Daphnia pulex: one gene and its partner. The protein of the gene in region 1 interacts with the protein of each later gene in a pairwise test. Links are inferred from orthologs where the notes say so. Each region holds a gene or a part of one and is shown on either strand. Other genes may lie near its edges. The genes, in order: myotubularin-related protein 9-like and serine/threonine-protein kinase mos-like.

Region 1 (4,580 bases):
GGCACTGTCTGCATTCCAATACCTAATCAGAAACTTCATTTTAATCCATCACAGAAACGTTGGGACTTTTTTCTCATTACCTGGCCATCCATATGACACACCCAGCAAAAAGTGTCATGGCGCGTAAATGTCTTGCTTTGCAATTCCATGAAATGGCTACCAACTTTGGTCGATGGGGTACTTGCTGTTGATGGAGTGCTTGTTATTGATCTAAAGTTTGCAAAAGTGCTACAGTTAGTTACAAATGCTTCGTAACGCCAGCTTCATTTTTTAGTTACTTTTTGTTTCTTTTCTCTTGAATTGGAGAACTATGAGGAGAATGCACGGCATCTGTCCCTCCTGTATCCTCCCATTTGCGCTTTGTGGCTTGTGTTTCCACTTTAACCTGTTCAACTTCGCTAGTTGCACTTCGAACATACGAGTCCATAGAGCTTTTGACAGCAATTTGGTATTTATGCATGAAAGACCTGTAAGAGAAATGGATCTCCAATATATGGCTTTAAAAAACAAGTTCAGATTTCCTTACTTTTGCTTTGCGATTATGTCAGGATTGATCTGTGATCGCGTGGTACGTCCTGCGGAAAGTGACACGTCGTTTGGAGATGGGCTGATGGGTAATTTAGTCCTGCTGGATCTTCTTAGAGCTGCTGATGGAGTTCCTTGCAGTTTAATGCTAGATGCAAAATTTAAAAAGAATTTTTTGAAATTGTTGCCATGTGGAACCCTTGAGAAGGAATAATGTATAGACTTAATTTTTGTATTTACTTTTGGTTTTGGTCTCCTTTGTCAGTAAGACTCTGTAAATCATCTTCTAACTGTTCATTTTCAACTACACCTGAGAGACTGTCCACATTCTTGCCTTCCTGCTTCATTATTGAACCATGGCTAAGAATGAGTCCTGGAGGTGCTTCCTCATCTGATGTTTCTCCAGTAGTACCATCATCCTTTGTAGCTGTTTGAATCCCAGCACCATCTGAGTCTAAAAGTTCTGGCATTTCTTCATCCTCTTCATCCACATCTTCATCTACGTCTTCATCTTCATCCTCCTCAGAATCTTCAGCTATAAAAAGACTTTGTACTTCATCATCATCAATCTGGCTCTGTTCATCACCATTTAGTTGGGGAGTGCCATCCCTAGGTGAAAGAGTGTCGAAGTTTTCACATGCAGTGGCCACATTATCTGCAGGCTCACTGTTTTCACTGTTCAGTTTTCTGGACATTAAACCAACATCCTCCATGACTCTATCACTGGAAGGTTCATTGATGACATCAGCAGTCGCAGCGTTATCCATTCCGGGCAGGCAGCACAGTTTTTCCCTTGTCCCCTTGATATCTGCAATTAGTGATTCCAAATAAATATGTTATTGCGAAACGGAAAATGAACGTAGAATTTAGCAAGCATACCACTGAGGACTGACCTTCCTGTGCTTCGTAGAAACACCGCTAGAGCAGGCGGAATCCGGAGAGGATTTTTCAATCAAACAAGCTCCGCCCACAGGCTATCTATATTTCGGTCCAGTGATGATGCTACAAACAAGAAGAATGTTACAAATTAAAAAGCATCATCAATAATGGTGTCGTGAAAACAAACCCACTCTATAAAAAGGTGTCACGAATCTTGAACCACTTCAGAAGCATGCGATATATTTCAGCTCAGGGTTTCGCCAGAATTATTTTACACACACACACACACACACAGTCACACACACAAGACACACCGGCGGTGTATATAGCAAACAACGTTGTCAATTGGGGATATGAAAAATATTTTTTTTTTCTGCTTTTCACGACACCAATGTTTACGTTTTTACGCTCACTTGGTATGAAGTGAAACGATAATTCACTGTCAGGATGAAAATAATTTCCAAAATACTGTAAATTTTAAGCGAATGCTGTATTTTTAACCTCATTTAGTCTTTATCGATCAATTGCGCGCGCAACTCGTTTCTGAAATCGTCCAGCTGGAGATTGTGACAGGTGAAGAAATCCTTACAATACAAGGTTTGTGGAAAATTATTAGGTTTCATTAAACCGATTTATGGATTGTCTCTTTCTGAAGGCTGAGCTGTGAAAATGGAGTTTGCACATCTCATCAAGTCACCAAGGGTAGAAAAGGTTTTGGTCCACCGCCCACTTCACAAATCTGTTGAAGGGGTGCTATGTATAACTGGGCACCACCTCATTTTCTCTGCTGGAGGAGAAAATCCTGATGAATTTTGGGTATACCAATTTTATTAAGTTTTTTGTAAATTACCTTCACATTGTTTTTTTTTTCATTTTTACAGCTGATTCATAGAATCATAGATTTAGTGGAAAGAAAACCCAACACACCTCCAGCTGCAGGAGGCACTCTTACACTCAAGTGCAAAGATTTTTCTGTTATCAGTTTTGATTTCAATAATACAGAAGAACTGATGAATGTTTCAGCTTCATTGGAGTGCTTATCATCCATAGGTATTTATTACAGATCGGTGCTTATAAGCCTACATCTTCTAAAACCACCTGCTAATAGATCATAATTTTTTTACCACAGAGAATCAGTCTCTTTATTATCCTTTCTTCTATCAGCCAGTTTACACTGCAATAGAAGATGGTTGGACAGCATTTAGGCCAGAAACTGAATTTTCCAAACTAGTCATGCAACAACAGGAAGACTGGAGGATTTCTTATGTCAATAAGGATTATTCAATCTGCTCGTCTTATCCATCTGCTGTTGTAGTTCCCAAGTCGGTCGATGATGACGTCTTAATAGCTGCTGCATCGTTTCGAGTTGGAGGGAGATTTCCAGTTCTCTCATACAGGCATGAAGGAGGAGTAAGTTGCCATTTAATCATAAATATGCTGCAATATTTTTATTTCTTTTTCTTTTTATTCAGGCTGTGATGATGAGAAGTAGTCAGCCTCATTCGGGACCAAATGTTAAGCGTTGTCGTGAGGATGAAAAACTTCTTAACAGTGTGTTGAAACCAGGGATGCGGGGTTACATTATTGATACCCGCCACCAGAGCACAACACCGACCCCCAAAGTATAATATCATTCTTTCAATCTAAAAATCTTGTCTAAATATCTAAAATTTCGTTCCAAAGTCTAAAGGTTCAGGTGGTTTTGAGACCGAATCTCACTACCCTCAATGGCGTCGCATTCATAAACCCATTGAAAGACTGCAGTCTTTACTTGAATCGCTATCCAAACTAGTTGAAGGTAAAAAGCAATATTGTTTGGCCCCCTAAAAGTGACATTTTGACATATTTATTAACCCCTTTTCAGCCTGCCTTGACAATGGCAGTTCTATGGATAAATGGCTGTCCCGCTTAGAATCTTCCCAATGGCTTTCGTACGTAAAAGAAACTATGAATTGTGCCTGTTTAGTTTCTCAGTGCATTGATCAAGAAACTGCTGCTGTTCTACTTCATGGAGGAGAAGGTCTTGATTCTACATTGGCCGTTTCTGCCCTCGCCCAGGTCATTCTTAGCCCTGACTCTCGCACAGTTCACGGGTAAGGTTTAATCCCCTTTGCAAATATCGAAAGGCTTCTATAGTTCTCCTGTGGTTATTTTTCTTTTTCTTCAAGTTTTGAGGCTTTGATCGAGCGTGAATGGATTCAAGCAGGTTATCCCTTTGTTCAACGCCATCACCGCTCGGCTCTGAGTAACACAGTCTCACGGAGCAAAGAAAATGCGCCGACTTTTTTACTATTTATTGATTGCACTTGGCAAATCATGCAGCAATTCCCATGCAGTTTTGAGTTTAATGAAGGATTTCTCCTTCAGTTGGCTCGTCATTCCTATTGGTCTCAATTCGGTAAAAAAGTAATTTAGCCTGGCATAAAACAACACGAAAACTAATGAATTGGATCATTAATCGTTGGGAATAGGTACTTTTCTGGGAAATAACGAATTAGATCGCTATCAAATGCAACTGTCGTCCAAGACTGTTAGTTTATGGTCACATTTAAATCGACCAGAAGTGCTTCGATCTTTCCTTAACCCGCTCTACGAGCCCAACAATCGCGTTATCTGGCCTTCAGTTGCTCCTATGAGCGTGGTATGCATAAATTTTCGTCAATTTAAATTCTTGTTTCTAATTCTAATCTTCTCTGATTCAATTTAAAAGAACTTGTGGCCAGCAATGTACCTCGCTTACGTGGTGGAACCCAGCATCTACGACAATGCCTGGCGTGACATTGCAGCAATTTGTGAGCAGGACAAAGAGCTGCGCTCTAAAGCTCAGCGTCTCCGCCGCCAACTGATAGATTTGGAACGTGATGCCATCGCGAAGGGACTACTTGATAGTCCTAGCAGCATTGGAACAGTCTTTGATTGAGTTTTCATTATATTTTCTCTGCTTGTTTATTATTTTTTCTTCCGTTGAGCAAAACAAAAAGAATTTGAAACTTTAGATGTGACGTTTCAATCTTTTGATATTAAGTCAGCAGTGTAAAGGACTGTCGTGGTTGTAATCTAACCATCTTTCTTCTTCAATCATCATCCATTTCACGGATGCACGAATTCTACTCATTTTTTTCTTCGAAAAAGCCTAAAAGAAAAATACCGACGCGGTGGTTTTTTAAGTGGGGTGA
Region 2 (3,622 bases), on another chromosome or scaffold:
GTTTTATTACTGTATGATGATCTCAAACTGTCCGAAAGTTTCCATCGCACTCATTGCTATCATAAGTCATATAACTCATAAGTAAGCAAGCCTAGGATTGAAATGTCAATAATCCAAAAGTGTTTGTATTCCTTGCACGATGTGCTCCACTGTTTTTCGTAGCGTGAACTCGGACATTCCGTTGTTTGTATAGCTTCCCGTTGGATAATTTTATCTTTTGATGTCTTATATCTTTGTTCTAATCTGAGTGATGTGTTTCAATACTTGCTTTGCGTCTATTTGTGTTTTGTCGCTTTTCTCAACAACATATGTGACTGAATTTGTCAAACCCAATAAAATACACGAGTTTGATTAAATTAACAACAGTTAAAATGATTAAATTGTTCCATTGTCCTTTGACTTCTTCCATTGCGGGTGTATAACTAAGAAATCAAGTCACACATTTCTTCTCGACAAACGGGGATGGCGTAACTTTTTTTTTGCGTTAAAATTTTAAATTCAACATGCAAATAATCCATCAATGTGTGAACAAAATTGTCAAAATTATACTTGATCTAAATTTATAACTTTCACAGCATGAAATAAATTTGTTTGAAAGTAAAATTCCGATTTAAATGCCAAAATGCACTTGCAAGCCGAGCTGTACCCACTGAAAGCAATAAGAAGCGGCTGGTCATTGGATTTACATTCCACGATTCGATTCCTTCAAAATGGCTTCTGAGACTAAAACGAGAATTTCATTCGAGGGTTGGATAATCATCACAGCTGTTGTTTTAATTGTGGCCTCTGCAATCGGCATGATATACGTTGATCAAGTTAATCGAGCCTCGATAGAAGAATGCAACAAACACATCGACTGCTGTTCGTCGTCCCTGAATCCGCAGTCTGCTCAAATGAAAGCAGATGAATCCTTGATCCGTGCCGCACCTGATGGTAAATCTCCACCGGAACTAGAACTCCGCCCAGGAACTTCCACCGGAACTCTTCAAACGAGGTCCGTTCCACCTGAAAGAGGGGAAGCTACTATCGTTCCCCAAAACAGAAATTAAAAAATGATTCCTTTCTGTTCACCTGATCTCACAAATTTCACAAGTCTTTTTCACTCAATTAAAATTTCGTCTCTATGACTCAATCGAATTCCGATGTGACTTGTCTGAAGTAATACATGAATTCTTCTAATTTAATGTTTCTGATCCCTTTCATTAACTTTATAGATTTTTAAAATATAATATATTCATTTAAATCACACATCACATTTAAATTAAGCAAGGAACTTAATCACACTTCTATGACTTAATGCAAAAGTGCTCAAGAATAAAACAAACCAACAAGAGATGTACACGAAACATTTTGTTTGTTATTTCCAGGTTGGTTCTGTGGAGGCAAATAAAGGAAAAGCTCGTCAGGTTCATTTAGTCGAAAATTCACCCCAAAATGGCAAAATTTACCGATTTTACATTTGCAATTAAAAAAAAAAATCATGCTGATTAATTATTCCATTATTATGTTTTTAAAAATGATATGACAACGTCGGGGACATTAAGTAAACATACGGAGTGGGTTCGAAAAACACTTTTAAATTAGAATATTTTTGTCGAGGTGGGTGTATCTTGGAAAAGGTTTTAGAAAACGTTAAAAAGAGACAGTGTTTTAGCTCTCCCCCCTTTTTTATTCTACAGGGCAGTTTTGGGTTTTGGGTTTCAAGACATGTCACGATCTCCGTGTGTCGCAGCTGCTAGTTTGAAAAGCTTTTTACCTATTAAAGATTTTAAAAGTCCCAATCATTTGAAGTTGAGTCCAGTTCCAGCTGGTCACACTCAATATCACACCTTGTTATCACCTTTTCCACAGTGCAACCCCCAATCCACACCTTCATTATCCCCATCATCTAGCCATTTTAACTTCAATAGTCCAAATAATTTTTTTCAGAAACGAGATAGTATTTCACTTTCTGTTGATAGTCCCCATAGGCTGCTTTTTGCTTCAAAAATTAAGACCACTCTCAACTCATCTAATGTACTAGGACGGGGAAGGTTTGGTCAAGTTGTGTTGGCAAAGTATAAAGGTAATATGATCGCTTTATCAAAGTTGAAAGCCTTAAAAACCAGTACTGTAATTTAATTTTCCAGATGCACAAGTTGCTGTTAAAATAATAAAGAATGCTGCAAAAGAACAGGTCAATGAAATAAATGGGGAAAAGCTGTCACATCCCAACATAATCAGCACTCTTAAAATAGAGAAAGTTGATGATGATGTTCTAATTTTAATGGAACCTTGGGGTTCCCTTAACCTTCAACAACTTCTTAGCATGTCTTTGAAAATTCCATGGGGAGACATTCTCAGGTATTTAATCAGACTTTCCCCAAATTACAATTAGATTAATGGTATACTTTTAATTTACAGCTATTCGACACAATTAGCCATGGCTCTTGAATATTGTCATGCAAATGGAGTGCTGCACCTTGATGTGAAACCTGCTAATATTATGGTGAAAAGTGAAAAATGGATTAAATTGGGAGACTTTGGAAATTCTGCAAACATTCATCAGCTTGATTTATTCCAGGTTAGTTTTATCTTGTCATATCTTGATGTGATTGAAAATGGATGTAATTTGTGTTCTATTTAATTTCTGTTTCAGTACCAACAAAGAGTAGGTACAGTTTCTTACTGTTCCCCAGAAATACTTCAAGGGGATGTTCCCTCAACAAAATCTGATGTCTATTCCTATGGTATAACATTATGGCAATTTGAACACAATCAAATACCTTTTTCTGACTTGGACTGGCCCACTGTAGCATACCTGGTATTTCATTTTTAGACTTTTTATGTGATTCATTGTTAAGTTTCTTGTTGGTTATTAGGTTGTTGCCAAGGATGAAAGACCAGTCCTCAATAGTAATTGTAATGAAGAAGAAACAACATTTAGTAAGCTTTATCAAAGCTGTTGGCAACCAAAACCTGAAGACCGCCCAACTATGTCAGAAATTGTAAATATTCTCAAGGATTTGAGTGAATGATGTATTGTCTTTCGAAAATTAAAGAAAAATTCATGAATGAGCTTCTGGTCCCTCTCCACCAGGAACTAACTAAATATCAATCATGAAATGGCTATTAGTTCAAGTAATAAGACAATAAATTATGTTGCTATAGCATCCTTACCATAGTTATGTTGTTTCCATTCAACAGGATCTGGTCTAGCTTAGTCACACGTCTTCCTTCTGGAGTAGATTCAAATTCTGACACATCTTCCAGCACCATGTTGACAAAATCGTCGAACCCTAGCAAAGTTCCCACTATTTCCTTGTCATTCTTCATGATAATGTGGATCCTTGAACCAATGCATTTATCAACCAACTCCTGTATACCACACCAAATTTAGGTGAAGATTTAATTGCATAACTTTAAAAAAGTATTACCAGAGGTAAAAGCGTGGGTACTGGTGCAGCCATTTTATTTAATTAGAGGGAAAAAATGAAATGTCTTCCACGCCAACTTCGAAAATTTGTAAGTTAAGTTTGGTAAAATCTATTGCACTCCGGAGTCCGGAGCGCTCTAGTGTCAAAAGTGGCTATTGCACTCCGGAGTCCGGAGTCCTCTAGCGTCAAAAGTGGCTATTGCACTC

Evidence for each region.
Region 2: the proteins of myotubularin-related protein 9-like (region 1) and serine/threonine-protein kinase mos-like interact in binary tests that used the Homo sapiens proteins (3 or more experiments, as listed by UniProt). The link is inferred for Daphnia pulex from reciprocal best matches to the Homo sapiens genes MTMR9 and MOS.

What each region holds. Positions count from the first base shown.
Region 1 is NC_060028.1:7,381,343-7,385,922, reverse strand, and holds myotubularin-related protein 9-like, read left to right. Parts: upstream 1-1,771; 5' UTR 1,772-2,001; intron 2,002-2,059; 5' UTR 2,060-2,073; coding exon 2,074-2,220; intron 2,221-2,285; coding exon 2,286-2,454; intron 2,455-2,533; coding exon 2,534-2,814; intron 2,815-2,876; coding exon 2,877-3,026; intron 3,027-3,087; coding exon 3,088-3,202; intron 3,203-3,268; coding exon 3,269-3,497; intron 3,498-3,572; coding exon 3,573-3,802; intron 3,803-3,875; coding exon 3,876-4,045; intron 4,046-4,114; coding exon 4,115-4,324; 3' UTR 4,325-4,399; downstream 4,400-4,580. Other genes in the region: protein kinase C-binding protein 1-like, read right to left, coding at 1-22, 81-210, 279-467, 527-673, 766-1,292. UniProt on the Homo sapiens protein: Acts as an adapter for myotubularin-related phosphatases. Increases lipid phosphatase MTMR6 catalytic activity, specifically towards phosphatidylinositol 3,5-bisphosphate and MTMR6 binding affinity for phosphorylated phosphatidylinositols.
Region 2 is NC_060021.1:7,376,591-7,380,212, reverse strand, and holds serine/threonine-protein kinase mos-like, read left to right. Parts: upstream 1-1,546; 5' UTR 1,547-1,707; coding exon 1,708-2,065; intron 2,066-2,129; coding exon 2,130-2,343; intron 2,344-2,403; coding exon 2,404-2,563; intron 2,564-2,638; coding exon 2,639-2,803; intron 2,804-2,861; coding exon 2,862-3,017; 3' UTR 3,018-3,047; downstream 3,048-3,622. Other genes in the region: U6 snRNA-associated Sm-like protein LSm5, read right to left, coding at 3,048-3,086, 3,160-3,357, 3,417-3,449; peptidyl-prolyl cis-trans isomerase H-like, read left to right, coding at 3,472-3,504.